Lepisosteus oculatus: one gene and its partner. The protein of the gene in region 2 interacts with the protein of the main gene of each other region in a pairwise test. Links are inferred from orthologs where the notes say so. Each region holds a gene or a part of one and is shown on either strand. Other genes may lie near its edges.

Region 1 (15,388 bases), on a different chromosome or scaffold from region 2:
CAGCTCCCCACCTAACTACTGTAATAATTATAATATATATAATTATATAGAAAATCAGCAGTCCCATTTATTTAAAGTATCCAAACTTGGTTAATTTTGAATATTACCTTTTTTATCTAGTCCCAGTCTTACAGGACTGGGGGGTACCCCAGGACAATCCTAAAGCACTTAACACATAGGAGGGGACCCGTTCACCCACTGCTGAAGTGTAGCGCCCACATTCTGCACCAGCAGCTCCCTACACAGCTGACCAGGTACAAAGGTGAGAAACTGCTTCACCAGCGTTCAGCCATTAGCTCCCCTGGCTCTTACAAACAGTGCCATGAGATCATTCATGACCAAGCAGTCAGGTGCTTGGTCGAACTCCTCCTCTGAAGGACAGCAGCTCTAACAGCAGGGGTGGGAAAGTACCTAAACACAAACTAAATCACCTCGTTAGTGGCTTAGTGAGACCAAGGTAATAACTTCCCCTGGGCCTTCAAGTGCTGCTGCTTAAGAGACCCAGAGAACCTGTGGACACACCAGCCCTCTAGGACCAGGACTGAAGATCCCTGTCCTACAGCACAGACACTATGGTACAGGAAGAAGAGTGCCACCTACCGCTCTGCCAATGCCGCACACAGCACTGATGGCAATAGGCAGGTGGACAGAAACTGTTTAACGGTGAAATTATGTAAAACCGCATGTATGAAAACAGTTCAAAATAAACAGGACCGGGGTAAATACCTCATACTGAATCACAGTATCCATGCATTGCTAAGACTAACATAACTAATACACACACAAGAGAGAAAGGCTGAAAATGAGGAGGTCTTTCAGTTCCTTTGGTTTATTCGGCAGTGAGCAGTGAACTGATCCAAAGATCTCAGCAGGCGGGTTTGTAAAGGGTATCATACGGCCGGGGAGCTCCTCCCAGACTCCCGCACACGTGAGAGCAGCTGGTCAGAAAGAAAACGCCGAGCTCACCTCACCTCTCAGCTCTCTTCCTTTTGCCCCTCTGCGGGGAAGGAGCCCTGGTCTCTGTCGATCCTGCCTCCCTCTCCTCTCTCCTCCTCACCATCCAGGCCGGCAGAGCCCGCTGGCGAGCCTGCATCGCTCGGGCGCCTGCAGACACACACCCTGGCCGGGCCCGTCAGAGGGCTGGTGCCTGGTTATCCACGGCTGGTCTTCTGCCCGTTTCCGAAGCACATTGCCGCGGCAATGACTAGTTTGAACGCGCTCTCTGCAGCGTGCAAAAGGCGCTTGAATCAGAAGAACATTTCAACTGTTACTAAGAAGTTTTATATTTTTACAACTCGCTCAGACATTTCTTATTTTAAGTCTGTTAATCTCCAAGGGGAGTATTCCATTAAATCGTGGAAAGATCAGAAACCAAAACTAAAACTGCAAACTAAATTTAAGCTGTCTTGTGATTTTAAATGTGCAGTCTGACAATGGTCACCCTTTCAAACAGGTTTTGATAACTAGTTCACTGTTAAAATATTTCGTTTCTCACAGTATTAAAAGGACTGGCTGCAAAAGATAAGAAAAAAAACTATGATTTACCGAATAGCTAGGTTGATCGATTTTACAATCTGAAGACAACAGCTACTATTGTATTTTCTAATACACCTTTAATATAAATTGCAATATATCGTCTGTAAACTGTAGATCTAACCAGTTTGTAAATTCTCCGAATTACTCTTCTCTTCCTGTTGATAAACAACACATTGTACTTCCGGGATATCTATGGTCATTCAATCTTCTTACGGCCTATCATACAATGCATGATGGGAATTCAAAGGACTCCAGTGACGTGTTTCTGTTTACGTGTATAACGAGTCTTAATCCCTAGTACAAATCATCTGTTTTTCGATCGAGTGAATTTCTTCACAGAATTCACTACTATTTACTGAGAGGCATTCCGACTTTAATAGCCACATACTCTTGTTCTCTACAATTGATTTTCCTATCTGCGCGGTCTGAAATTACTGACTGCTTATTCTTAATATAATTAGCTGGTCGTGGCTTGGCTGGCAAACGGTGCTTCAGACAAAGATGCAAGCTTTTCAAATACTGTACATTGACCTCTTCGTTTTGGTGACGCTGTTTAGATATTGTGTTAATTCGTGTTTTTATATACTTATATCTATCCCTCTGTAGCTTTGTTTGAATTGCCACTGGGTGGCGGTGGTTTTTTAGAAAATCACAATACTGTCTGATCAATAATGTTAAGTACAGATTAATTTTAGCGCTCTCAATAACTGTGATAGAATTTGCTGTGACAGTTGAACTGTATTATATAGTGTATAACGTACAGCAGCGCTTCCCAGCCCCGGTCCTTTAGGAACATCGTCTCTATCCCAGCTCTTCCCAGCCCCAGTCCTGTAGGAACAGTGTCTCTATCCCAGTGCTTCCCAGCCACAGTCCTGTAGGAACATCGTCTCTATCCCAGCGCTTCCCAGTAAAGTGCCTAGTAAACATTACATAGTATTAAATTGACAAGACATGTCCCACAGAAACCCAGAATGTTGGCCCTATAACCTGAGACACAGTACAACACCTTGACAGGACAGCAAGAGAGACAGCCTGTGTCCTAAATAAAAGAAAACAACTCGGCACTAAATCTCCTTTCCTATAACCTGGATGCCCAAAAGAGAATGGGAGTCTATCTCCCTATTCTAAAGACACATCAGCAAATTAGGAGAGAACATTTTTAGCCTGAGAATTTCCTAAGACAAACCAGGCAGCAAGCTGTTGAAAAACAGGTTCAAATTCTGTAGCCAGAACCTGGTGTCCAATACTGATCAGAACAAGATCCTCTAGCCTGGCACACAACACAGAGTAGGAGACAGGAGATGGTGCTCCTTCTGTCTGGCTCCCTGTCTTCCTTTTGTTCCTTCCCTGTCTCTTTATTATTTATTATTCGATTCAGAACCGTATTAGCAAGACCAATGAGTTATAGTGCTGCCCCGGCCGATAGAATCAACACAACATTTACAGTACAAACTCTTTATTCCACCTCTCTTTTATGCTGGGCTCTAGGTCTGATGAAGACATTAATGTTTTACTAAGAAAGTGATTAACTACAGTAAACCAGAAACTTAACTGACACTGGGTAAACACCTCCATTGGAATTCAAATTCTACCACCGTAAAATACTACCAAAAGCATAAAATGCATAATCTTTAGTTCAGGATCTGCACATCTCAAGTTCAAGTTAAAATACTATAAACTAAACTAAACTTAAATACTTGGGGAACTTGCATGTGAGTCCCAGGTGGGCGTTTCCTGACCGAGGGAATGTTTTTCCTCTATCCACTCAAACACAGAGGTGCCCAGAGTCACTGTCCCATCATTGGTCTGAACATGACATACCAGGTAAAGTGCGTAGCTTGTGAAAAATAACAAAACCTGTGCAAACGACTCAGTTCTTGAATGTCCTAAGGTCATACTCAGCTACGTCTAGGAATACTATTTTTAGCTCACTGTTCTGTTTCTTTCTCTTTGCTGGTTTTCCATTTCTCAGCCTCAGGTAAACCTATTTGTATCTTGCTGTTTCTTTAACCAGTGGTTTATTAATTAAATGCTGCCTGTTCATGCTTGTCTGTGTTGTTAAGACTCCACTTGCACAGTGGAATGGTTTTTAAGGAGGCAAATTCTTATGCCTATCAAATATTTTAGTTTGTTTTGTTCTTATGCAGTTTTTGCTGATATTTAAGAGTTTTTATCTTTGAAAATGTTCAGTTGCGCATTCAATTATTTAAATCAATTTTGATTAAAATATTCTCTTTAACAAATGTGTGAATGTAATTTGATAATCAACAAAATGGGATATCATTGGAAGGCACATCAATACTTTGGCAGAGCTTGCAACACACAAGTACAACACAAGTGGACCCCTGGATTCTAATGATACTCAGGGGTCTAATCGTGTTGCACTCGCAGTGACTATTGAGAATAGTGTTCCTCGAGGACCAGGGCTGGGAAGCACTGGGATAGAGACAGTGTTCCTACAGGACGGGGGCTGGGAAGAGCTGGGATAGAGACGGTGTTCCTACAGAACCGGGACTGGGAAGCTCTGGGATAGAGACAGTGTTCCTACAGGACCGGGACTGGGAAGTGCTGGGATAGAGACGGTGTTCCTACAGGACTGGGACTGGGAAGTGCTGGGATAGAGACAGTGTTCCTACAGGACCGGGGCTGGGAAGTGCTGGGATAGAGACGGTGTTTCTCTGGGACGGGGCTGGGAAATGCTGGGATAGAGACGGTGTTCCCTAGGGACAGGAGCTGGGAAGCGCTGGACAGAGATGGTGTTCCAGCGGGACCAGGGGCTGGGAAACACTAGGATAGAGATGGTGTTTCTTCGGTACCAGGGCTGGGAATCACTGCTGTAGGGAATAGGTTACCACCGATGTCCAGAATGTATTACTTTTCCGTAAATAATGAACAGCTGTTGAAAAGTAAGAAACAGTTAGACCATACCATAATTGGGTCAATATAACATACGTTTATCAATGAAAGAAACACGGAGAACCTGCTGGGTCCCGAGCTTGAGGGCTGGGGGAGGCAGCATGGGCTGTGTTTCTGCTGAGCGCCTCTCCTCCAGCAGCTCATCCGAGCACTGCTCCACACACAGGGGCTCTCTCTTCGCCACTTCTCTTCTTCGCAAGATAATTACAGTAGAAGTCCAGAGAACTACTGTCGCTTGTTTGCTGTGTAAAAATGAGTTTCATATTCAACATGATATTCACAGTGCCTTTTCATGCTCTGCCTTACCCTTGTACTCATCAATGGCCACAGGGGGGGCACTGTACTCTCAGGTGAGCAGTGAAGTGCAACAATAACAACTCCCTTAACTGCATTAGAAACCCATTACAAAACACACCCAAGACATTCAGCCCTCAGGTCATATTGTAACATCCATTCATTTTGTCATCTAAAATTGCATTTTATGAAGAATGCTTTAGCTTCTTGAACACTTGCCTGGAATCACTAGTTAGCTCTATGATGTCTTAAAAACAAACTATGAATCCACTATCCACACATTGGATTCTTTCCAGTGGATATTTCTGCTTATGGAAGGGGTGGTTTCACCATTGTTTGATACCATTTAGACCAAGCGTGAATCCAAAGCTTTGACTGAAACACATCATGTTTCACACATCAGTGCAACAGGTAGGTCAAGTGTCATTAAACAAAGTATTTTATTATGTTATTAGAATGAAGTATGGAGTTATTAGTTATGGAAGCTTCTAGACGGCACTAAAATAAGAGTGCTTAAATATTTTGATCAGTATTGAAATGCTCACTCAGCTCTAATGTTAAACCACCTCTCCTGATACACCCGGCTTCAACAGCAGACTGTAAACACAGCTGCAGATGAGGTTGATAAATGGGGCTAAGAATACTACACAGCCTGTGGTTTGACACATCTACCTCCCTGAGAGAGAGATGACGCACTCTATGCTGAAATGAACAGGAATGACAGCAGCAGGGCTGACGTGTCCTCTCTGTCATTAGAAGATGGACATGAGCTTAGTTATAAAGAAAGCCTTGATTCAGCTCTTTCAAGAGCTGAGGGAAAAGCTGACCTTCAGTAAGACAGAACGAGCTAAGCCAGGCTCAGGGGCCATGTGATATACAGCAGTCACTTTGTGGAGAGAATCTCCTCAGCTCAACCAAGAGACAAATAAACGGTAAATTCATTCACAGAAGGAAGGGTGTTTCAGTTTGACAACAGCAGGCTTACAAGTTCTGTAACAGATCTCCCTTTTTGTGCTGTTTTTCATTAATTTCAATAGATCAGCTTTACAAATCACAATCACTGAGAAGAAGTTAGATAAGACAACAATTGATCATTTGGTTTCACAGTTACTGAATGGAACATAAAGTGATGGTTTAAATATATATTTAAATATTTATTTTCAAAGCTTCTGAATCTGAAAAGCTGAAGTACAGTAGTTTTTTATATTATGAATTGCTTTACTATAAACGGACTAGCTGGAGAAAGTGACCTACAGTATATAAGGATTACAGAGTTTGGAGTTTATTTAGCTGTGAGAATTTGCACTCCGTCTTTAGCTGGGAGGAAACCTTAATGAAACAGACAAAATCACGAAAACCGAGACTGGGCTGATCGTGAACTGGTCGGACCAGTTGTCTGTGCTGTTGTTATTTTTGAAATATTTGCCACTGACTTGTTGTTTCAAAGAACTTTCTCAAGTCGTGTCTCCACCCACACGCTATCTAACATCTTCCAGTGTTTCTTCACTGTCTCTCTCTCTTTCTCTCTCACTCACACACTCCCCTTGCCTGTGCACTCCAGCAGTTTGTAGTATGTAGCAGACAGCAGCTGCAAGATGAATTTCAAAGCAGAGCTGCTCAAGTCCATCTGGTACGCCTTCACATCCCTGGACGTGGAGCAAAGTGGAAAGGTCTCTAAATCCCAGTTAAAGGTACGTCTGATTTATTTTTTACTTTTACAAGTGGTAGCAGATTGGGTCTATGCTGCCAGGAAATCTATGTGAAATGAAAACCTAATTCAGAATAGCAACTTCCTACCTTCATCAACAACACCTATGCAAGCACCTGGAATTCCCAGCTTGTCTTGGGCTTCTCTCCCTGGAGAGTTCGCCCAGAACCCCCAAGGCCATCTGCTCTTCATAGGCAAGCTGGGACAGGGTGAAGCAGAGAGAGGTTAGAGAGCTGTTTCTTCATTTCTGCAGTTGCTTTTGCTTGTTTTTCTATATCTTTATTGCATCACAGTTGTCTGCTTCTTGTTGTTCATGCTGGTCGTTTCTTTAGTGCACTTGAGCCCAGCTCAAAAAATAAAAAAACACCAGTGGTGGTGTTTTGTCCATAATGGAACCAAGGTGTGTGTGTCTTTGCGGAAAGAGCAGAGGTTAGAAGAAACAGAAAAGTGTAAAAGACAGGCCAGGAGTAACTGATTTTGGCTGACCAATACAATTTTATATAACATATGCTACCACAGAATATGTTACTTAAACTTTCTGTAAATCAGTTAGTTTTAGGAACCAAACTCTCTATGTCAGATCCTTCTGTTCCCAGTCTGTGTAATGCCCACTTATTATTTTATTTTCCAAACAGCTCAGAGTAAGCTACTCACGACTTATCATTGATTAATAAAACTTAAATTGTGCTTCCTCCATTTGCAAATTGATGGAAAGTCATCTGTCTTTGAAGAGGTCCATGAACTTCTTCCTTTCGGTGTAAAACAGAAATGAATTCAACCTCCTGCTTTGCTTTAGACCTGCAAGACCATCCTGCAGCACCTAAAGGTCTCTTTGCATTAACAGCTCAACACCTGCAGCTGGAAAGAGCTGTTTAACTGCCCCAGTGGTTATTTCAAGTGGGGCACTGAGAACTGAACTGGAACAACGATATGCTGACATAGCAGATCTGCAGGATGGGGGCTGGGCAGGACTTCGAGCAGGTTCAGTGAATGGTGACACGCTGCACACTATCATTGTTTTAACACACTGCATGAGAATATTAAGAATATTGGGTCCCGCGGTCAGGAGTAACTCCTTCGAAGTGATGCAACACAGACAAACCAATAATATAAAGACAGGGGAAAAAAACTGTGATGATACAGCACATCGGTGCTGTAGCTAGAAAGAATCAGCACAGAGATAAGATGCAGGTAAGCTCTGTGGGGAGTGCAGTCTGCACGCATGAAGGCAGTTTAAGTCTTACCAAGCAATGCAGCGGATTTCTTCTCCAATGGAGAGCTGTCCTTCCTGCCAGCGACTCTCACACCGGCCACAACCCTGCTGGGTCCGTTCGCATGAAAGTCACTGCAGATGTGAGATATGTATAGCTAGTATACCTTACTAGAGGAAGTGTTCGCAGTGTGAAGAAATGGGAGAAATGTCACTGACTTGATCTCTCATGTGTTAGCTTCATGCGGGTCCTGCAGTCCCTGAGACTCCTCGTGAGGACCCTGTGGCAGAGCTGCTCAGCGTGCCAGAGCCCCCAGCATTCCTTTCCAAATGGCTGACTTAGTTTCTTATTTTAAAATACTGCTCTAAACAGGGTGCACTGCACTGACCTTTCTAACACAGCTTGGTCATCTCTGACCATCTATTGCTTTTTATTCATTTGACGTACTTATTTGTTTTGATTATTTCTGTTCTGACACAGTAATTTTAACATCCAAGTGAAAAAAATGAAGCATTTTGGTCTGGTAACAGTAACAGCAGTGAGTGTTACGAAGTGATGGATATCTTGGAGGGATCATCACCAAGATGTTTATCACTAACAGGGGGTCTGTGGATGGTGAGTTTCACCCCTCGATGTTAGTTTCTTTGTGTTTTTGACACGTGGTCACTCTTTGCTTAATATCCTACAGCCAGCAGGCCTGTTTCCTACGTCTATCATGTCAACATTATTAAATAACTATTTTAAAATCATCTGACAGGCTTGCAGGTCCTAAGTCTGTAAAAAGGTCTCTGAGATGGAGAGTCAACAAACAGTTTGGTGCAATTTGGGTTCTTCTGAAATGTTGACAGGTTTGCTGTTCAGACCCTCCAGTGTGGCAGAGCATGACAGATATGAATGTTTTTTACGGGAACTGGTTACTTTTCTTGTGTTCTAAAGATTTTATCATCAGGCTTGTTGCATTAGTATGTGCTGTCTCTGCTGGCACTGTGCCTGATAGAAGCAGTAGTGTGTTTTCTGTTATGTTTTGTCAGTATCTGTGGTCACGAACAGAAATATAAACGGCTCGTGCAATCTTCCTTTCATCCCCATCCTTAGTGGGGAATCAAAGCTAACATTTTCTGGCAACTATTTTATTGTTTGTTTGTTTGTTTGTTTGTTTGTTTGTTTAAATCAACACAAATTCTAGATGCATAAGTAAAATGATTGGAAAAGTATTATTGAAGTAATGCTACAGAACACGTAAATTGGTTGGTACAGTGTCTAGTCTGAGACTAATTTGTGAAAAGGAAAAACACAGAATTTCTGCTCCACATCCTTCTCAAATCTTCCCTCGCAAAAAGAAGTAAACCTAACAGAGAAGACATAAAAAAGGGACACAAAAAAGGGAATACAAATTGCACTAAACAGTCTCCAGACAGCAAAATAAAAACAGAAAGGCCAGTCCTAACAGGTTTCATCCAAGCAGCCCCTTTGTTATAACAGATTCAAATCTAGGGTGTAGAGGGGAAGCTCAAGGTCTCAAAATAGTTCAGAAATTGTAACAAACTTTAAAAATCATTATGGTGAAGCTACATGCGTACTTGATTTTATCTTCGTTTCTCCGAGCCATTGAACCCGTGTGGGTGGGGCAGCTTGCTTCGAAATGGAAGAGGATTCGGCACCTTAGAAACGGAGTTGCACAAGCCAAGCTGTCAGACTGTAGTTCTGAGAGGGTGAGGTCGACAGCTGGCACACCAGAAAAAGCAATAAAAGGAGTGGGTGCCATTTCTAGATGAGTAATTCCTGAGAAAGCACCCCAGATAGAGGAGCGGAAATGAACCAGTTCAGGACCAGACCAAAACACAGGCATGAGAGTGGCAGAAGCTCGTGCACATCTGTCACATGCTGGGTCCGAATTAGGACATATTTCACCAAACTTAGCTTTCTACATCTGTGGTACATATGTGGTGAGGTATTGTGTAATTTTAAATTTTATGAGACCTTGCCTGGCACAGATAAAGGAAGAGTGAACCCAGGCTAAACTGGCCACTCACTGGCCTATTTGAATAAAAGCTATCGCGTTGCAAAAAAAACTTTTAAAGTGCTTCGTTGCCCAATTGGGAAGTGTCAATAATTCATGTATATCGGCTCCACCCAGTCACTCCTATACAGCCCTGGAGTGTGAGTATGGGAGCGTTTGAGGCATAGCAAGCTGCACAGTGCCTTACAAAACAGTCAATAATAATAGTAATAATAGACTGCACAGCTCTTGTGCAGGAGTTCTACACTCAAACTCCATAGCTGTGACCTAATGCTTCTGATGGGGAAGGCATAGTCCCATGAGCTGTAGTAAATAACCTTACACTTATACAGCTTTTCTGGACGCTCCACTCAAAGCTCTTTACAGGTAATGGGGATCCCCTCCACCACCACCAGTGTGCAGCCCCACCTGGATGATGCACCAGTACACTCCCCACACACCAGCTCTCAGTGGGGAGGAGAGCAGAGTGCACCAGTACGCTCCCCACACACCAGCTCTCAGTGGGGAGGAGAGCAGAGTGCACCAGTACACTCCCCACACACCAGCTCTCAGTGGGGAGGAGAGCAGAGTGCACCAGTACACTCCCCACACACCAGCTCACAGTGGGGAGGAGAACAGATTGATGAAGCCAGTTCTGAGATGGGGATTATTAGGAGGCCATGATTGGTAAAGGCCAGGGGGAAATTTGGTCAGGACTCCAGGGTAACACCCCTACTCTTTTCGAGAAACACCCTGGGAATTTTAATGACCACAGAGAGTCAGGACCTCAGTTTTATGTCTCATCCAAAGGACGGCGCCTTTTTACACTGCAGTGACACCATCACTATACTTGAGAATTAGTATTTCCAGAGGGTGAGCACCCCCTACTTGCCCCACTAACACCTCTTCCAGCAGCAACCATAGCTTTCCCAGGAGTCTCCCATCCAGGTACTGACCAGGTTCACACCTGCTGAGCTTCAGTGGGCTGCCAGCTGTGAGTTGCAGGGTGATATGGCTGCTGGCATTGAGTCACTGCTGATTGGTGGAGCAGGGAGTCTCTCAGTGATGTCACTGCCTGGCTGGCCAATCACAACCCCGCCTCCAGCAGAGTTGAGCCACTTTTCTGCCAGTTGGGAAATACATATTCAGTTGGTGAGATGACTCAGGATTGAAGCTCAGAGCCAGTTCCTTTTTTTAAACTGCAGTTTAAGGGTGGAAATGCATCCCTCAGTAAAGTGTTCTGCGAGGCAGCTGTGCAGCCAATCTTGAGCAGCGTTGCCTCTTTTCAGTGTCAAAACAAGTAATTTTAAATGCACTTTCACTTAGTTCTCGCTTGTGCCCTCTTGTTCGTGTTTCACTGCTCATTCAGATGTCTTCTGGGATGATTTAGTCAGCGCCTTTGAGGAATTTGAAAATGTGTATCAGCTGCCCTTGTAATCTTCCCTGTTCGAGCCTAAAAAGGTTTAGTTTCTTCAGCCTGTGTGGTTCAATCCCCTAATCCCCAATGTATCTGGTTGCTGTTCTCCGGACTGATTCCAGAGCAACAATATATTTTCTATAATGTGGTGACCAAAATTGTACACAATATTCTAAATGAGTGCATTATAACATTTTATCATGAAGTCACGTGATTTAAATTCTATGCTTTTAACTTTAGATCAACATTTTGTTTGCATTTTTAAACACTTTCTCACATTGTTTTGGAGGGGGAAATGACATTAACATGATGACCTACGTCTTTAACAAAGTACAGCAGCATCATCAAGAGTGCTTGCTCTACCTTGCTAAAGTGGGCCGTGCAGGCTCTGATGAGACAGGGATTGAACCGAGGCCAGTCGCTCTGATTTTTTAAATGGGCTTTGCAGGCCAATCGCAACCTGTCAGTTCGACACCCCTGGCTTAGGGGATGGAGTTGATTTTCAAAGCCTGCTATAGCAAATAGCACTACTTTAAACACTGGCTAACGACTTATTCTACCGAAAGGTCACAGGAAAATTGCAGCATACAAGCTAAAAACTGTAAATCAAGAAATAAAGATGCAGAAGGTTTGTCATGAAAATCAGTGTGAAGCATATTGATCCCAATTCTAAATATGTACAACCTACAACCTAAGTTGGCGATGTTATCTTCAGCCCATTTCTTCCGGCGTTCAAAAATGGTTAACAGATTGTTGATCTAGCAAGTTTAAAACCATGTTTGCCTTTTTGGTGCCTGTAGTCGAAGTTTTCAGAAAGTCACATGTAATCCGTCGGAATACACTTCATTGCTAGAGATTCAAATGCTTGAGAGAGGAAATGTGTCCCAACAATGTAAATGTGTCTGTAGACACCAGAGACGTCACAGCTACCTGTCCGTGGTTTGCTGAGAGCAAAGCGATCACATGCCAAACAATCAAACATATAACTACATACTAGACCAGCTCTCCCAGTCCATGAAGTTCGTGTAGGGAGCTCTGTCAGCATGCACAGCCCAAATGTTGTGTCTCTTTTCATTTCCTTTCAGCAGGGAATAAATCTTTACCTGGTCCTTTGTCTCCCATCCCATGTCTTGTATGTCAAATCCTTAATTACAAACTGCGGTCAATTAAGCAATTAAAGGATCCATTCCGGAATTAGCTTGGACTGGATGGTCCAACATGAGCTGTAAAAGCCAAGGTTGCCTGGCCCTGCATGAAGTTAAGTCTTGTTCTTTATTTTTCCATAGCTTAGAGTCAGTGCAAGAGCACCTGACACATTACACATCACTGCATAAAATCGCCAGGTTACGTTGTCCATGTACAGCTGTTGAGAGCTTTGCAAATTAGGACATGCCCTTCGGTCCAGCTGTGTCACTGGGCCGATGGTTGCTACAGTAATTGTTCTCTCCTGCCTATCTTGAGGGGTCAAAGAGAATTTGCACATTAGCACAGTGGTGAGTATCCCCTCCTGTCACGCTGGATCCTGGGGTTCAATGTCCGAAGAGAGGGAGCGGCTGTTTGGCGACAGGAGCAGGGTCTCAGGGTCAAGGATCTGGCTTCAAAAGGGGAAGGTTGTGGATCCGAGTTCCATCTGGGGTGCTTCTGTTGATCTCTTGACCAAGGTACTCTGCTCGCATTGCTGCAGTTGATTGCTCCTACTGTACTACTCCTACTGAATTGGTCTCCAGGCTGTCACCGTGAAACAGAACGTGTTCCTATCTGGTTGAATGGAGGTGTTCAGACCATGGCTGGGCTGTGTCCTACACACACTTTAATCCTGATGAGGGGTTTTTACATTCAATAGCTGCAAGTATGGATTGAATGCCTTGACATCATTTCACGTTTACCTTAAGCTTTCAGATATCGAGGCTAATAAATGTAGTAAATCCTGTTGAAGCAGCACTGTGTTCCTTGTCATTGTGTGCAGGTGCTGTCCCACAACCTGTACACCGCCCTGAACATCCCCCACGATCCTGTTGCCCTGGAAGAGCACTTTCGGGATGACGATGCTGGCCCTGTGTCCAATCAGGGGTACATGCCATACCTCAACAACTACATCTTGGCCAAGGTCAGAGAAAAACCCTTGTGTCTTTCATGCTGCTGTTTCTGTATCACTGAAACTTTGCAAAAATATCACCCGAGCACCCACTTCCATCTCACATTGTCTCTGACATTTAGTCAGAGCTAAAATGTGTTCAGCAGTAGGTGTTAGAGAATCTGATATCTCAGTATTGGGATATTACAGTACTCAATCAGATAAGATCTACAGTAGCTTGTACTTCATCTTGAAGGAAACCTTGGATTTGCTGATGGCTCAGTCCTCAATGTGAAAACAGGATTATTGAGAACCCAGATTATTTTTACATTCAGTAGTAAGGTCAAGGTGACGTGCTGATATGTTCAGTGTATATTAAACAGGAAACACACTTCTTCTAGAAACAGTATTGAGAGAAAACAAGAGAGCGAGACATGAAAGAGGTTCTCACTGGAGGTACAGGGCAGGTTAATGGTGTACACAAGCACGTACGAAAAGTTACAAACAAGAGGAGGTCGTTCAGCTCATCTAGCTCACGTGCTTGCTAGTAGATGATCTATCTGAGGATCTGATTCAGCCATTTCTTGAAAGAATTCAGGATATTAGCTTTGATGACATGGCTGGGTAGTTTATTATAGATACCCACAAGCCTTTGTGTAAAACTCCTTCCTGTTCTCAGTTTTAAATTCACAGTTTTCACTTGTGTCCTATTTTATACAGTATTTGTAGCTCATGTTTCCATTTCTGCCTCTAAAACTCGTATGTAGTCGTCTACATACAATACCACCTGCTGCGTGTTTGCCCAGTCTTGAATTCTGTCTAATTTTTTAATTTCCCTGGCTGCTTCTACAGAGTTTGCTTATCCTCCTATTTTGTATTGTCTGCAAAGCTCTATAGTATAATTTTCCAACTATACCAGTACGTAGATCATTGATATACATGAAGAAGAGCAGTGGTCCTAATACACATCCCTGCTGTACTCCGCCAGTGATGTCACCACAGAAGGAAATTTCACTCTTTCTCTCTGCTCTGTGTTTTCTGTCCATTATCCAGTTCACAATCCAAGCACACACATTACCTGGAATGCCTCGGGCCATTATTTTCCCAGTCTTTAATCGTTTATGAGGAACAAGCCTAATGAAAATATAAATATACCACATCATGTTCTGTGTGTGTTATTACTGTAGTTCAGTGGTTCTCAAACTTTTTGGACCAAGTACCACCCCTAATCCAACCAAAGCATCCAAGTACCACCTACAAGTCATCATCTCATAGGAACCCCAGAAATTCTCAATGACCAACATAAGCGCGCGTGCACACACACTCACACATACATATAATAAATATTATAATAATAAACTTTATTTGATATAGCGCCTTTAAAGGTGGCTTCTCAAAGTGTTTTACAGAAAAAAAAACATTAACAACAACTAATAAAAAAGCACCATTTCAGTGAGAGGGGTGAGCCTGTTTAGTTGACCAAACCAGATGTGAATTAATTTTTCGAGCCTTGATACAATTCACAACAGAGTCTAACAGATATTAAATCGTCAGGCATTTTCTTGACGGCAAAGGTCTCGCGGTGGATGTTGCAATGCGTACATTAATTTCTGGAGCAACCTCTCCAATTCGTGCAACTACACCATTATGTCGGCTGCTCATTGCTCTAGCACCGTCTGTACAAACTCAGACGCATTTTATCCAGTCGAGGCCATTCTCTTCGATAAATTCATTCAGAAGCTGAAATATGTGCTCTCCTGTAGTTCCTGTTGGTAGCGGTTTACAGAACAGAAAGTCTTCATGAGACGTGCCCTCAAACTCGTATCTAACGTAAATGAGCAAATTGGCCAAATCGACTACAGACTCATCTAATTGCAGTGAAAAACATCTGCTCATCTTAACGCGCTCTATCAGTGTACTTTTGATATAATCCTTCATTTTAATAATTCTATGAATGACTGTGTCTTTCAGGGGGAGGGGGGCAGCAGGTCGAGCTCTTTAGCAGCTTTTTCTCTACACATAATATGTGTCAGCTCTTTTGCCAACGGTAAATAAGGTTCTTCAAAAATAGTGTAGCTTACCTGCTTTAGCAATACGCAAGCTTGCATTTTTCCGCCTTTCCGTTTTTATTTCCGTAAGTTTTTATTTCATGCGCATGGGAGCAAAGCACAGAGACGCTCGGTGTATTTTTCTCAAATTAGAACAGTTCTTAAATATTTTTCTGTTATCACGC
Region 2 (15,576 bases):
TGCAAGTGGATACTGGATTTCCTGACAGGCAGACCTCAGGTGGTGAAATTCGGCAACAACATCTCCTCCACAGTGATCCTAAACGTTGAAGGCTGCTGGTTCATTCCTAGATTCTACTCTTGTTCACCTATGACTGTGCAGCCACTTACAGCAGCAACCGTATTATCAAATTCATTGATGACACCCAGTTACTGGGCTGACCAGTAACAATGATGAGTCCAAATCTATGACTGAGATGAACCATTTTACAAGATGGTTCCTTGACAATAGCGTGACCCTAAATGTCAACAACACAAAAGAAGTGATTTACACTTCAGGAGGCCCAGAGAAAGTCACAGCCTAATCAGTATTGAGGGCACAACAGTGAAACTGTCAGCTCTTCATATTTCTAGGATTGCAGATCTCCACCAATTTCTCTTGGTCTCACAACACAACAGCACCTCCACGTTCTGCAGTACCTAAAGAAATGTGGTATGGGGAAACAGCTGCTCATGAGCTTCTCCCGCAGCATCATAGAAAGTGTCCTCACTAATGGCATCACTGTATGGTATGGCAATACTACCATACATGACAAAGCCGTGCTACACAGTGTTTTGGCACGACACAGAGGATTACAGGATGTGACTTACCATCAATCAATGAGATTCACAACATCCGCTGTCGCAGTAAAGCCCGATCCATCATTCAGGATCTCAACCATCCCGGTCACAAACTGTCATCCCCCTGCACTCTGGCAAGTGGTACCACCCCATTAAAACACAGACCACTAGGCTTAAGAACAGTTTCTATCTGACAGCAGTGTGCATCTGTTAACAGCAATGACTCAGAATTCAATGCACCTCTGCATTCTGCACTCTCACTTTCTACTTCATATTTATTTTTTGGTTTTATTTATTCCTCCATTTGTTTATTGTCTGTACATAAATAATTATTTACTGTTTTGTAATATACTGTGTACATTGTGTGCCATTATCTGTCGTACTGTGTTGTCTGCTGTACTGTGCATGTCCCGAGAAAACATCGCAAGTAAGAATCCCATTGTACATGTACTGTACATATGGCAAATAAATGCCTCTATCTATCAAAACATCTCCATAAAGCTACACTGACAATCTCAGAAATTGGTTCTTTCAACACAGTTTTCTGAGCCACAGAAGTAGCCCTTCTCCTCAGTGGTTAGCATCCCAGTTCCAGCTGTTGGGTCTGTTGTGTTTTATTCCAGCTGAATTTCTTACATTTACCTCATCAACCTCTGAAGAACAGCTTGAAGTATTACAATCATTTCAGTGCTTAAAGTGTAGAACGACATGATACATTAACATGCAAGCTGTGCCAGATGTTGGGATTCACAGCTCTCTTCTCACATAGGTTTATTATTGCAATCACTTGGTCGAATTTAACCAATGGGCCCCTGCAAGAACATTTACTCTGGTGTTTGACTGCATAGTTCTCACCCGTGTTTGCACATTATTAATTGTGAAACAAGTTCTTTAGGAAGCTGCAGGGGAACAGCAAATTTAAAGCATGTTGAAACCTTTCTTTTCACCACATTTCTTGGAAATGATCAAAGGAGATGTGACTTCTTCCCGAGTACAGCATATGAATTCTGTCTCTTGTGCCAATGCCACCACCAAAATAAGCCAATCAGATGGTCATGATGACAGAAATGGGCTCATCAACCAATACCTTCCGTACATGAGAAGGAAGTACCACAAATGTCATTTAAGAATAATAATCATAATAATAATTCCTTACGCTTATATAGCACTTTTCTGGACACTCCACTCCAAGCGCTTTACAGGTAATGGGGACTCCCCTCCACCATCACCAATGTGCAGCCCCACCTGGATGGACGTTATATTCTATAACGACAATCTAAAGTGACATTTCCAGTACGGAATAATGTAATGAAATTGGTGGTGACACTTCTTCCCATCAGTTCGCTTGAGGTCCAGACCCACTGGAATCACACAGTTCCAGAGAAGAGAGGCCAATCTTGCCAAGACTCCCAAACTCAACAAGGTGTTTAAAAAGTCAAACACTAACAACAGCCTTCCACTAGATGGGGAAACAATTAGCTCTTAAAAAAACAGGAATTCAGGTGTGATCAAGCACACGCATTACAGATGCACATCCATCCATTTTCTAGCCTCTTCTTCCACTTCAGGGTCACCAGAGAGCTGGAGTCTATCCCAGCAAGCATCAGGCACAAAGTGGGAAACACCCAGGACGGGACGCTGGTCCATTGCAGGGCAGACATACAAAACAGAGACATCCTTAGGTGCACATTAATGTGACTCTTTGTTCTCCATTCAAGTCGCTGGTAATTCACAAAAATTAGTACTAATATTTTTTTGTTTCCAGAAGCCACTGTAATTCCTAATTCAAATTCCATGTGAGTAATACAGCAATCAAGCTGTCCGCGACAACAACAATTATACAACAAATTGTACCCGTCTTTTTGTCGCTTTTGACACATGGTTCGATTAAGCGTAAAAAGAGCTTAATGTTTTAAGAGTTCAGATGGAACTGGAACCTCAGTCAACACAGCAGTTACTCTAGGACTAAGAACGGGAAACCGCATTAAAACGTCTGTGTAGGAACATCAGCCTTGAAATCAGTCTTTGTCCAACTGACATTAATGTTAAAGCTCTAAATTAACCTAGTGAATTACATTTTTTGTCTCGCGTTCTTAAATAAATTAAAGCAAACCTTATTAAAATTGTTCTGACCTGTTTGACATGTAACGAGATTACATTTTGGTATATACTGTAGCTGAGATCGAGTCACATAACCAGCAGTGGGGAAAGCATTTTTAATTACCGACGTCCCTTTTTTTGAAAGAAAAAAGTAGCGTAAGAGAAACCGAACAAAATCAGCAGTTAAAACTGGAGAATAAATAAAAGCATATGAAGTGCGTGCCTCTCTCACGCCTACTGATCTTATAAAAATGAAAGACGAGGGCCACCGTGAGAAGCAGGATGTAAACATGGTTGAATGTTAAAAGAGTTTAAATTCTGTTTTTTAAATTACGTAGCATGCCAGATGAAGCCGTGCGCCTTGGCATGGTACATTGACACATAAAAATGGAACTTTCTGTTTTTATTTTCCAAAGAGAATTCGATTTGAGCAGCTGTTGCAGATGTTCTCATAAAGAAGTCAAAACACTGATGTCAAACTGTTTACATACGGCATAGAATAGCATACCAGCTCTCTCATGGAACTAATAATTTCCTAACGTTTTACCAGATTATCATCGATAAATAAGGTATTTGGTGTTAACCAAAAATTGTGAAAATAAGAACAGAACTACTTGTATTCATTTTCACTGCTAAAGAATGGTGTGCTACAATTATAGTCATGGACAAACACCTCCACTTCTGTGTGAAGCTTGTAGCTTACAGTAGGACTAAATGTTTTGGTTGGGAATTTTAGATTTTGGAATTAAGGAAGGAAAAGATTATTTTTTGCTGTTTGTGTTTCTGTCATTTGATGCTAAGTTTTGTGTTTCATAATTAAAAAAAAACCTTTTACAGATTCTTACCCTAACAATTTTTCTTCAATTTTGTTTTCACAATAGAACTACTTCAAAAGTTGTAGGTCCTTTTACAGAACTAACTAGGTGTCAATAATGTCAATGTAAAAGCACTTTTTACCGAATAACATAAGGAACATATGCATGTCATTTCTGAACATATTTTAAATGTTATAACTTACATTCTACACGATTAGGAAATAAAACAATACATCCTGAATTGGAGTACCTGTAATGGCTCGATGCCAAGACTTAATTCATGGAATTACTAAAGTCTTAGAATTCAGAATTCATTTTTTTTTTTACTTTGCAAAGAGATTGTTTTGCAAGGACATTAATTAAATTTTTTTCTATTTAACTTCCTGTGAGAAATGTCATTATTAGGATTGTATGCTCATAAAATATACAACAAGTAATCTTTAATAAACAGTATTGCTACATTGGGAAAATTTTCACATAACATAGTGTTCTTATTCTGCAAATGACTAAAACAATGTCTAATTTTCCCATTTTAAACACATTGGAATCACTGTCTCTCTACTGGTACGAGTCCACAGACAAGTTGAGGTTTATATAAAACTAAAATGATATAATGAAAATTACAAAATACTGCAACGAAGATCCATGTTCAGTTTTATGGTTGCAAAAACATCTTTAAGTCATAATGTTCTTCTGATTTTGATTTTGTTATTTTCAAAACTATCCTTATTTCTCTTGAAGAAATTGTACTTATTATACAATTGCGCTTATTCATGGCAGATGCCAGTAATTAACAGCTTTACCCAGCTGTTTGTTTTCTTGCAAAATATGGTCTATATTCAGGTTTACTAGATTAATTACTGCATCGTGCAATTCAGTAAAGAGATATCAGAGGACAAAAATAAAGTATTTCACAAGCAGTGTCAAAAGATATGGGCCTCAGACATGCACGTACCTGTAGGAATGTATCATCTAGCTTTATTGCAAAGTGTAATAATAATAATTATTTATTTGACTGTTGGGATACTGTTATTTGAACGTGCAACCTTGCAGCTACATGAGCTTCTAACCTCTATTTACATTACTGTCTTGTTGATGCACCAGGTCTCACTTGTGTCACAACAGTGCAGCTACTGTAGTTATGTTTTTACTATCAGATGACCCTCCCATAGAATGCAATGTTGGAGCTGTAATCATATGTTCATTTACTACAGCTTCTAAGCAAACTTTGACAGGGTAACTGGTTGCATGCTTGAAGAATATTTGGTATTCAAGAAATCATTGACAATAATAAAGCATATTCATTGGGGTGGCAGTGTTGTCAACGAGTGGCAGGAGCAGACCTTTTCAAAACATAATAGTGCACTTTTTCAAGGTTTATGTTTCATCCACGAGTTCTATGTATTTTGCGTTACTGTAGAACACATTTTCAATTTGTGCTTTACTGCGCTGCAGCAATTCTTAACTTCACAATACAATTCCTGGTTTCTTTTTTGGCAGTTTTATATCAGTTTTAGATATTACCCTTTGTTTTAAACATCTGATATTTATTAGGCACCTCTTGGATTGCAAAACAAAGTAACTAAACTCTTGTATAGTAAATATTGGATCTTGTTGCTGACTGTGATGTATGAATAATGGCACCATTAGTGTAAGTCACTGAAAATTCTGCATGCAGATTAATGGGTTGATACACTCTTTAGTGATTTTGTGGTTACTATTTAACAGCCAAACAAGATTATTATATTTATTTAAAAAGGAATAACAAGAGCAAATAGCTGTTTGAATGAAGTTTACTTTAACAGCTTTTTGATCTGTTACAGCTGCAAATCCGATTTCATCCACTCACTGGTAACACACCTGGACATAAAGACCTCCTCAGTCAGGGTGGCAGTGCACAGAGAAACAGACTTGTTCTTTCACAGCAGTTGTAAATGAGCATAGTCTGTATGAAAAGAAACATGAGGCAGGAACCTTGAGGTGTTTCTTAGGAGCATAACCTCTGTTATATCATCTGTCCCATTCAAACGCTGAAACAGCAGACACTGCAGACGATGAATTGCATACTTTCAGTAGATTTGTTGGAAGATCCGAAGAATAACAAACAGCTAGAAAGGTTTTAACAACTGGGTTATTGTGCCTTTTTATAAAGTAAGGGAATAAAAGCAATGTAAAGTCTTGAATAAGATAAAAAAACAAGTGTAAAAGTTTTAACAGTGTAAAAACAATAAATACATCAGCATTTGTAAAAAACAACCCCTATAAACTAGGCTAAATGAACAAACATATATCCAAACATTACTGCCAACAGAACACTCTGGTAGAACAAGAATAACCTTTAATTTAAAGGTGAAAACAAACCAGGCACTTTCATATTCCAGCCCTGTTGCAACTCAGGTGGAAAAAGGTGGGGAACATTTATACTGTACTAACAGCTAGCGGAAGATCCGAAGACCAAAACAGGTCTTCAGCCCAGAAACAATGAATTAACGCTGAAAATCATCCTGATGCAAAGGCTTCTACCTTGTTTGTGCAGATCAATGTGTTTAAATTCCTGAGCTCTAATACCACATTTTTACTGGTTTGCATTTATAGATGTGCAACATCTTGAGAAATATAATATGGGCACCCACATACTAAGAAAAGATGTTGCAGATTGGTACTGTAGTGCTCTAGGGTTCACATGGCTATGCGCCCTCGCCACTGCTGCCTCAGGTCGGCCCCCCCACCACTGGGGACTCGAACCCGGGGCCTCCGGCGTCACTCAACAGGGACCCAGCCAGCTAATCTAAGGGAGATCTTGAAAAAGTGAAACCGAAAGCGCTACAGTACAATATACTGTATGCTCAAATTAGAAGGCGAATACTACATGTTCTTTGAATATGTGCAATTAAATGCACTGCTTGCTTAGCAAGGATGATCTCTGTTGTATCACTTGAGGGGGGAGAAGTCTGATATATATATTTTTCATTTTTATGCAACATAAGATAAATGCTCATACTGAGTACTTGCATTCAATTTGTTAGGGCATATTGCACTGAAATATAATAACTTAGTCGCTTTTATATCAAACATCGTGTCAGTCTAATTGAGATTTCTCACATAGTTCAAGTGTTTAAATGTGGAGAGTCAATAATGGATGTTTTCAAAAGAGGTTAAGCCACAGAATAATTCTTCGCTCGTCTAAAGTTTATCTTTCTTGTATCTGACACAAGGTTAGACATAAAAACTGGTTGAATTACATTGTTTCATTAGACTGTAAGTAGGTTAAAGTTTACATGGTTTTAAAACATGGTTGTTGTCTTTAAATCATCTCCAAAACATACAGAAAAAGACAAAAAATATATACAGCATGTAAAATATCTTCCCTGGATATTTAATCAATCAACCCATCAATTAATCAATCCATCCATCCATCAATCAGTTGCACATGATAATATCCTTGTCAGAAACAACGAAAATGAATGAATAATCTCCTGTGCATTAAGGGGTTATGATAATAATAATAATAATAATTGCTTACACTTATATAGCGCTTTTCTGGACACTCCACTCAAAGCGCTTTACAGGTAATGGGGACTCCCCTCCACCACCACCAATGTGCAGCATCCACCTGGATGATGCGACGGCAGCCATAGTGCGCCAGAACGCTCACCACACACCAGCTATCAGTGGGGAGGAGAGCAGAGTAATGTAGCCAATTCATGATGGGAGTGAGACTTTGCAATTAAATGACACTGGCAATATAATGAATGACGTGACATAAAAGGTGTATGGGAATGAGCTGTGTACGTTTGCTTTTTACAGCATGTCTAATTTAGCGTGTCAGATCAAAAGGAAGTAGAATTATTGAACACATGAACCCTTACGAATTTCTGCTAAATAATGAACCGGCAGATCACAGGGATTGCAGTTTCTGTCGCTGCTGGACTTCATAGAAAGACGTGCGTCACTTCTACCCGCTTTGCTCGTTTCTTTGGAAGGTCCAACATATATTTTGATGGTCTGGAAAAGTTATCTAAATTTATTTTTAACTTTCCATGCACCATTTACAGCGATTTAATTTTAAGATGCAGAATACGCAGCCTATACTAAAATCGAACTTTACAACGCATGTTTTACCGAGGAGAATGACAAAATATTTGGTTCATTTTCAAACAAACGAGAATTCACAACACCGTTATTGTTTTATGCTGTTTCCACCGAAAAAAAACAATAGCGTATAACATATATTTTAAAATTAATTTTACTTAAATATTAGTATTAGACGGATGGCAATCCATCCCTAACATACATTTATCATCCTTGTAATACCATAAAGGGAAAATATGGGGGAAATAAGAAATTAAAACTCTAAGACCATCTAAAATTTCGCTTATGTAAGCATTAATTTATGAGTATTTTATGTCATTATTTTTATCACAAAATTTACAGTACTTTATTTTATTCTGTCGAAACTACCTCCCGCGATGTCGAAAATATGAAATCAAAGATACATTTACTTACTCACTGTAGCGCTTCTACCAATTGCTAGTCAAGGCAGATACAGATAGGACTCTGTACTGGTGCAAAGAATATTCGTAAAAATATTGTAATTGTGTTTTTTTGAGTGTGCTATTAAATGCTGGACATGGGTTCTGAAATGCACACATCCGATCACAGTGTTGTGCTTTTTTCGTCGTAGTTACGCACCTCTGAACATTAGACGTTTTACAATTATGTGGTCGTATCTGACTACATTAGACTATTGCTTTTTGAATTTTAGTTTTACTGGATGTTCTTAACGATGGGCGCTCTTATGTAAGATCCGTATACTTATCATTACGATCCGTATAATAATAATCCCGAATAATAATAACGAAAAGCTTAACTAATATGTCTAATGTAATAATTAAGGGTGGTTATTGGTTGTAAAGAATGTCGTGATGGGCAAGAACATATGCGTCTCAAAGATTTATAATGTTCACTAAGCATTCTGCAGTTTCTCATTTTACGACATTTTGGCATTTCTGACTCGATAGCAACATGTAATCCTTCATGGTACTGGACATCACTGTACTCCTGATGCCGAAGTCGTGATGCTGAAATGGCGTCAGGATTGTCACCCCAGTCTGACAACACAAGTAAGTAATTATCCGTAGTGATTTTAATCTCACTGCTATTTGTTATACAAACGTTCGCTTCTATGTAGTATGGTATAATAATAGTCTGCGTCAACACCACGTTTTAACTCGATGTTAAAATACCTGCAATGATCTACAAGGAACAGTAGGAAAAACCACGGCAGGAGGGCCCGACTACAATCCAGCATAATAGAGCAACCAACATGTAGCAAAACAAAGATGTCAGTGAAACATGATTCGGTTCAAGCTTTATTATACCATGGGGGAAATTCGTTTTACAGCACGGTCCGATACAACCAAGACAGACAAAGGTTACCAGTAAAGAAGACTGTCTAGCAGTGTTTCAGGAGATAAGAGGAGCACTTGACATTGGTGGAGAGTGAGACGGCAAAGGGAATGAAGGATTTCCTGAGTCTATTACTGTATCCATTCACGGGACACCTAACAGTAAGCTAACTTACTGTTAATAGGTTTATGATGACGTGAAGATATTTAAAAAAGTACCTAGTAAATTTACTAATAAAATGCAAGAATACAGCATGAGACAAGTAGTGGTGGTGGTTGAGTGCCATTGAGTTGGTATGACTCATGGCAACTCTATGGACAGTTCCACTGTCACTATAGAGTTTTCATGGCAAGATACAGAGATAGATTGCCAGGTCTTTCTTCCACACAGATAGTGCGAGTGTTGTTGCCGTTGTCACAGAATCGTGAGCCTCTGCCACCAACACCACCCCGTACTGCTGCTGCCCAGTGTGGGTTATTAGAGAACCTTGTGCCCAACATGGGACACAAACCCACTATCCTGAGATTAGGAGTCTCATACTCTACCAACTGAGCTAGTCGGGGCTCAGAGGCACATGGTACTGCCTGACGTATTGTATGGGAAATCACAACTTATATTACATTGCACTTGAAGTCCGGACATGCAGTAGACCAGTTGGCTGAAGGTGGTATTTATGCAGACAGTTCATAGCTTGCAAGGCAGGAAGAAATAGTGTAGGAGTTGCAGATGAAGTGTGCATGAAAGGTTTTGGAGGAGGTGCCGGGAAGTGGCTGAATACAGAGTGCTCCTGGCTTTGTCACGTAGCTTGGTCCCTCCAAACTGACTAAAGACTCGGGAATGAGATGAAGGAGAGAAGATTTACAAACGACTGCGTCTTCTAAATGGAGTTTATAACGAAAGTTCGGGAGGGATGACAACCAAGTTCAATCAGACTCAGCTGTCAGTAATTAGCAATCGCTCCGGACAATCCATTCCCCTCCCAAACGCTATAAATACCTACGAGATCCCTATCTCTCTCTCTTGCATGTCTCTTGCATCCCACCTCTAGCGGGTTAAAGCCAAAATGTCGCTCCATGATCCTATCATGACACTCTAGTCTTGGGTGTTGTCATTCCTAGTGAATTAAGATTCTCTATCTGATATTTTTGCATTTCTTGGTCTCAGAAAAGGTCTGGCCTTTCTCAAATTTTATAAATATTCAGTGAATTTCACGTTAGCTGTTGACTTCATTTGGTAACTTCATTACACAAATATGTCACTCGGTGACAGTCTGCATCCCCAGCCAGGCGTCCGTGAAAAACTTAATTGTTTAAAATTTAAAAGCTTGGTTTCAAGTGGGCGTTTACTGTCAAGCTCTTTGAGGAAAAGGGTTTAAAAAACATTTTATTACTGGGCCATTCCCTTGCAGCTGGAGCCATGGCATTGGTTTGGATTTTATTAGCAAAGTTCACTTGGAGCTGTTGATGGGTTGTGAACTTGTGTGTGAGACCTAGAGTCCTTTGTTATGATGGCACATTTGATATCAGTACCTGCATGGGAGACCTCCTGGGAAAAACTACTGGGTTGCTGCTGGAAGACTTTTAGTGGGGCCAGCAGGGGGCGCTCACCCTGTAATCTGTGTGGGTCCTAATGCCTCAGTATAGTGATGGGGACACTATACTGTAAAAAGGCACCGTCCTTTGGATGAGACGTAAAACCGAGGTCCTGACTCTATGTGGTCATCCCAGGGCGTTTCTTGAAAAAGTGCATGAGTGTTACACTGGTGTCCTGGCCAAATTTCCCATTGGCCTTTACCAATCATGGCCTTCTAATAATTCCCATCTCTGAACTGGCTTCATCATTCTGCTCTCCTCCCCACTGAGAGCTGGTGTGTGGTGAGCGTACTGGCGCACTATGGCTGCCGTCACATCATCCAGGTGGGGGCAACTCATTTGTGGTGGTGGAGGGGAGTCCCCAGTACCCGTGAAGCACTTTGAGTGGGGTGTCCAGAAAAAGTGCTATAAATATGTAAGGAATTATTAATTATAAATATTAACTTTGTTGGACTTGCATTCTGTATAGGGTAAAGGTTTGGGATGAATTTTGAATAAATCTAATTGCGTACCCCCCTCATCTGGCAACTTGCCAAAATTAATTAAAGAGGATTTTTCTGGTCAAGGTCACCTTTGTGCTTTAGGTTACCCATTTTAAGGTCAACAATTTAAAGTGGTTTTCTCTTTTTTTTAAAAAAAATAGCATTTTTTAACTCAGGTGGTCCCAAAATCCTAGGATAATTTTTAAAGCAAAATCTGAGATGGTTGGAAAGCAGTCTTTTTTTATATGGAGTAACCATATTATTCTTAATTCAAAAATGTAAATGCTGCATTGTATGCACACAAGCTGTACTTGCCAAAGAGGTCAGGTATGGTATAGTTGGTTCACATTGATATGCATGCACTATCAAAACTGTGTGTTATTCATATATTCCTTTTTGTTATTCTCTTTTCCCTAGAGCTGAGCTGGCATGTGGGAGATAGGTGCCTTGCTCCCTGCTCTAGCGAAGGGAGTTTGTGTGCAGGGACAATAAAGAAGTTAGTTTCGATTGATGAAGACGAGTCCGTGGCAGTGGTGAAGTTTTTCAAGTATGACGAAGAAACTGTGCCAGTTACAAAACTGCAGGTGCTTCAGAGTCCTCTCCCTTACAAAAGCAAAAGAACTTCTGTATTTGGAGGTGAAGACCTGGAAAAGCCCCTTTTCCACAACAGGAAACTTCCTGGTGCAGCTGTACCGTATAAGTTATCAGAAAACGGAGACAACATTCCTTACACTATCAACAGATACCTGCGAGACTATCAACGAGAGGGGGTAAAGTTCATTTACAGTCACTACAGGAAAGGCAGAGGCTGTGTTCTCGGAGATGATATGGGACTCGGAAAAACCATACAGGTAAGGAATTCTGTGAAGACTCACACAGATTGGTCATCTGTTTTTTTTCTTCCTTTTAGAGCGAGCATGGTATAAGTTTCAAATGCGGCCCTTAAAAACATCAGTCATATTTCTCCACAGTGAATATTTAAAAAAACATTGCAGCTGTTCTTTCTAAGTTGTATGCATAGTGGACTGCATAGATGAAAAAGATTTAATGCAAAGGCTTATGGTGTTTATAAAATGTACTTTGCCATGTGATTTCAGGTCATTTCCTTTTTGGCTGCTGTGCTACACAAGAAAGGGACACGGGAAGACATTGAGAAGAATGTGCCAGAATTTTTGTTATCTGACGAACAAAAGCCTAAAACACAGAAAAGTAAAAAGGTAAGAAGCATACCTTGAATATGACAAAAATATATCTTATATATATATATGACCAAAATAATGCTTAGGAACTGTTAAGTAAATGGGTAAAATAAAAAGTAATGAGTAGAAACTTACTGTGGTCATTTTAGTTTTTGGACTTAAGATTGTTTCCTTAATATACACTCATAATTCATCCTAATGTTAATCACGTAAAATATCTTTTACAAAATGACCACAAATTTGTCAACAGATGTTATTCGAATATAATGAGAAGCTGGAAAAGAAAGTACAGATTATTTATAGTTATGTGAGCAAAACACCAGCCCTGCATAATACCAGGTTTCAGGCGTTGCAACTCCGCTGGTATAGTTAATAAATAGAGTATGCAGACTCAAAAGAAATACTATAAGGGTCCAGTTTGACAAAGTTGCTCAAGTTAGAGATAATGTGGTCAGCGGTAAAAAAGCCTGTATTCTTCAGTCCTAAACTGTTACCCTTTAGCTGTTGAAGTAATGATTGATATTTTGGTTCATTTTAGATATTCCTAATTGTGGCTCCACTGTCATTACTCTACAACTGGAAAGATGAGTTTGACACTTGGGGTTATTTCAGAGTTACCATCTTACATGGCACAAAGAAAGAGGAAGAGCTTGCTCGAGTGAAGAAAGGCAAGTGTGAGTTTGCCTTGACAACATATGAGACGCTCCGCCTGTATCTAGATGACTTTAACAGGTAGTGTCTTGATTTTTCTCCGACATTGTTTATAAGAATTAAAAGAGAACATAAAGACTGTACCTTTTAATATCTAAAGGTTGTTAACAACAGCTAGTGATGCTGTTTTCCAGAAATCCCTGAGATTACCACAATTTGTTCCAGAATTGCATATAATTTCTAGAAATGTGTTATGCTTTCAGTTACGTCTGGTTTTCCTCGTACTGTCTTGAGTGAGTTCTTCTTGTTCTGAATGCAAAATTGATTAGAAAAAGATTCGATGAAACACATCCTTTTACTTTTTCAGTCTTCAGCCTACATGGATTCAGTGTTTACTCTTTTAATATCTAGTGATTATGACTGTAATAGTTCAGACCTTACTGTATGACTCATAGAAAATGCAGTCAGACTGTTCCATTACTTAAGTTTTTCTTGCTATAAGTCACTATGTTTTCAATACTGTGTGTGATTTCTGTGTGTGAGGTGAGAGATACAGTATACTGCATATAAAGGCACAAAACTAGAGGCAGTTTTTACAAATTCAGCTTGATTTAATATTCATGATCGGAATGTGTTAAAATTGATGTTGCAGCTACATTTACTGGGAAAACACTTATATGTAGGTGCATTCTCATGTGGTGAAAACCTGAAGGTGCGCCACTCGTGTGGTGATAACCTGGATGATTTGTTTCTACAGCATTGACTGGTCTGCTGTTATAGTTGATGAGGCCCACAAGATTAAAAACCCCAACTCACAGATAACACAGGCAATGAAGGAACTGAAGTGCAGAGTGCGAGTGGGACTGACGGGGACCATTCTCCAGAATAACATGGAGGAGCTGTGGTGTGTAATGGACTGGTAAGCAGAAGTAAGATTACAGTTGCAGTTCAAAAATATTTTGTAGGTCATCTGTTCTTTTGATAGAAACTGTTTCTTAATAAATATCCTATAAATTAAAGCTCAACCATTATAATATTTCTTTGCAGTTCCTTGGTTACAGTGCACAGTGTCATACACACTGGCATACTGTGCATCATAAGAAACGTGTCACACTATTTATGTATGTTTCTGGAAAACATACAGTATACAGAGTTGGGATGTTGATGAAAGGTTTTTGTACCATTTTGACTGTGATCCTTTATATTGTGATCTTTAAAATGAACAGCAAGAAGGCTGAATCAGTCAGGCTGTCTGCATCAAGGCACAAAGGTGTGGCAAAAAGATAAGAGTAAAGATGCTTGGAACACCTCATTAAGCATTTCCTACATTCATTGCTTCAGGTTGTCTTCACCTTCCTCTCCTTGTTCCAAGTTCCATGGTTGTTTCTCATTTGCATTCAGCAATATGTTAAAAGACAACACAGAGCAGGACCTCAGCTTCAATTCTCAGTCAATACAGATTGCAATAGAGCAGTAGATTCAGGCTAGATTGAAATCCTTGCAGGAGCAACATTCCCCAGAAAACTATGGAGAATGAGCTGCTACCTTCATACAGCTGACCTGTGGGGAAAACAAAGTGGTCAGGTGAAGAGTTAAAAACCAGGTAGCAGAGGCTTCCAGTGGTTGGTCAACATCTGCTATCCGGAGATAGAGGGCAGATCCCCTGTTGTGCGATCTCATCAGAAGGAGAAGGGAAAAGAAAAAAGTTAGTGACTGCCCCAACACCCAAGTGTGTCACAAAATCCTCAAAATCCTCATCTGTGTCTACAGATCACTCTCGCAGGGTGACCTGAGCTTTGTATAGACTGGAAACATGCACAGGGTGAGCAGCATGGTAAGATTCCAGTTCAGCTTGGTTTGGTTTGGGCATACCAGTGTGAAAGTACTCAACAGAACAGTGTGTGTTCTCAAAGACAGTTTTCCGAACTCATCCATCAGAAAGACCACCGAAACTAAAATTATTCTGCAGCTAGGATCACACATTCTCCCTTCTCTTAACGACAGACTACTGTTCTTTTAAATTTTCTCCATTCATTGGAAGTTTCATTTCACACCTCTCTGTACCCATTCTGACTTCACACCTCTTGATTGGCCTCTCTTTCTGTCCCCTGCTCCCGCCTCTCATTCCTCCTCCCTCCCATCCTTTGTTCTCCTGCTACTTTACCTTTGCCAACTGCCCTGTCTCTCTCACACCTGAAGAAGGCTCCACGGCTGAAACGTTGTGTTCTCTTTCTTCTTTTTTTCAGCATGGAATAAACCTATTACTTGTTCCTTTGTAGCCTACGCATGCTGACGCAGCTACCTACCTGAACTAGTGTGAAAGTACGATTGGAAAGTACTATAATCCATCGGGAATCTTTACCCTTGCTCACTAGGATGAGTAAGAGTTCAATACATTTTGGTAAATACGTGTGGTTTAATAAACACAATGGAACTAAAGGAGTCAAGAACATTGTTTCAGATGAAGGGAGACTTTGTGCTTTCCTTCCTCTCTTCTTTTTGGTTGCAAAATAAGGTACACTGTTGTTTCGTCAAGTAACTGCAGTGTAAAAATAATATTTTGAAAGTCTCGCCTCTTTGTTTTTGTTTTCTAGGGCCCTTCCAGGATGTTTAGGTAGCTTGAGCCATTTTAGGTCGATGTTTGCTGACCCAATTGAAAAGGGGCAGAAGCACAGTGCAACTAAGCGAGAGCTAGCTGTAGGAAGGAAGGCTGTCAGAAGGCTGGCAAA

The links.
Region 1: the proteins of ercc6l2 (region 2) and cell cycle regulator of non-homologous end joining interact in binary tests that used the Homo sapiens proteins (3 or more experiments, as listed by UniProt). The two-hybrid records come from large-scale screens. The link is inferred for Lepisosteus oculatus from reciprocal best matches to the Homo sapiens genes ERCC6L2 and CYREN.

The regions. Positions count from the first base shown.
Region 1 is NC_090702.1:55,883,398-55,898,785, reverse strand, and holds the start of cell cycle regulator of non-homologous end joining, read right to left. Parts: upstream 8,025-15,388; 5' UTR 7,699-8,024; intron 6,654-7,698; 5' UTR 6,544-6,653; intron 6,438-6,543; coding exon of another isoform or gene 6,342-6,437; exon of another isoform or gene 6,251-6,341; intron 4,695-6,250; 5' UTR 4,489-4,694; intron 1,867-4,488; exon of another isoform or gene 1,242-1,866; 5' UTR 1,094-1,241; coding exon 972-1,093; exon of another isoform or gene 967-971; intron 1-966. Other genes in the region: differentially expressed in FDCP 6-like, read left to right, coding at 6,342-6,437, 13,048-13,188. UniProt on the Homo sapiens protein: Cell-cycle-specific regulator of classical non-homologous end joining (NHEJ) of DNA double-strand break (DSB) repair, which can act both as an activator or inhibitor of NHEJ, depending on the cell cycle phase.
Region 2 is NC_090698.1:57,211,687-57,227,262, reverse strand, and holds the start of ercc6l2 (DNA excision repair protein ERCC-6-like 2), read left to right. Parts: upstream 1-8,019; 5' UTR 8,020-8,600; coding exon 8,601-8,637; intron 8,638-11,414; coding exon 11,415-11,848; intron 11,849-12,094; coding exon 12,095-12,214; intron 12,215-12,734; coding exon 12,735-12,928; intron 12,929-13,604; coding exon 13,605-13,766; intron 13,767-15,441; coding exon 15,442-15,576. UniProt on the Homo sapiens protein: Promotes double-strand break (DSB) end-joining and facilitates programmed recombination by controlling how DNA ends are joined in a spatially oriented manner during repair.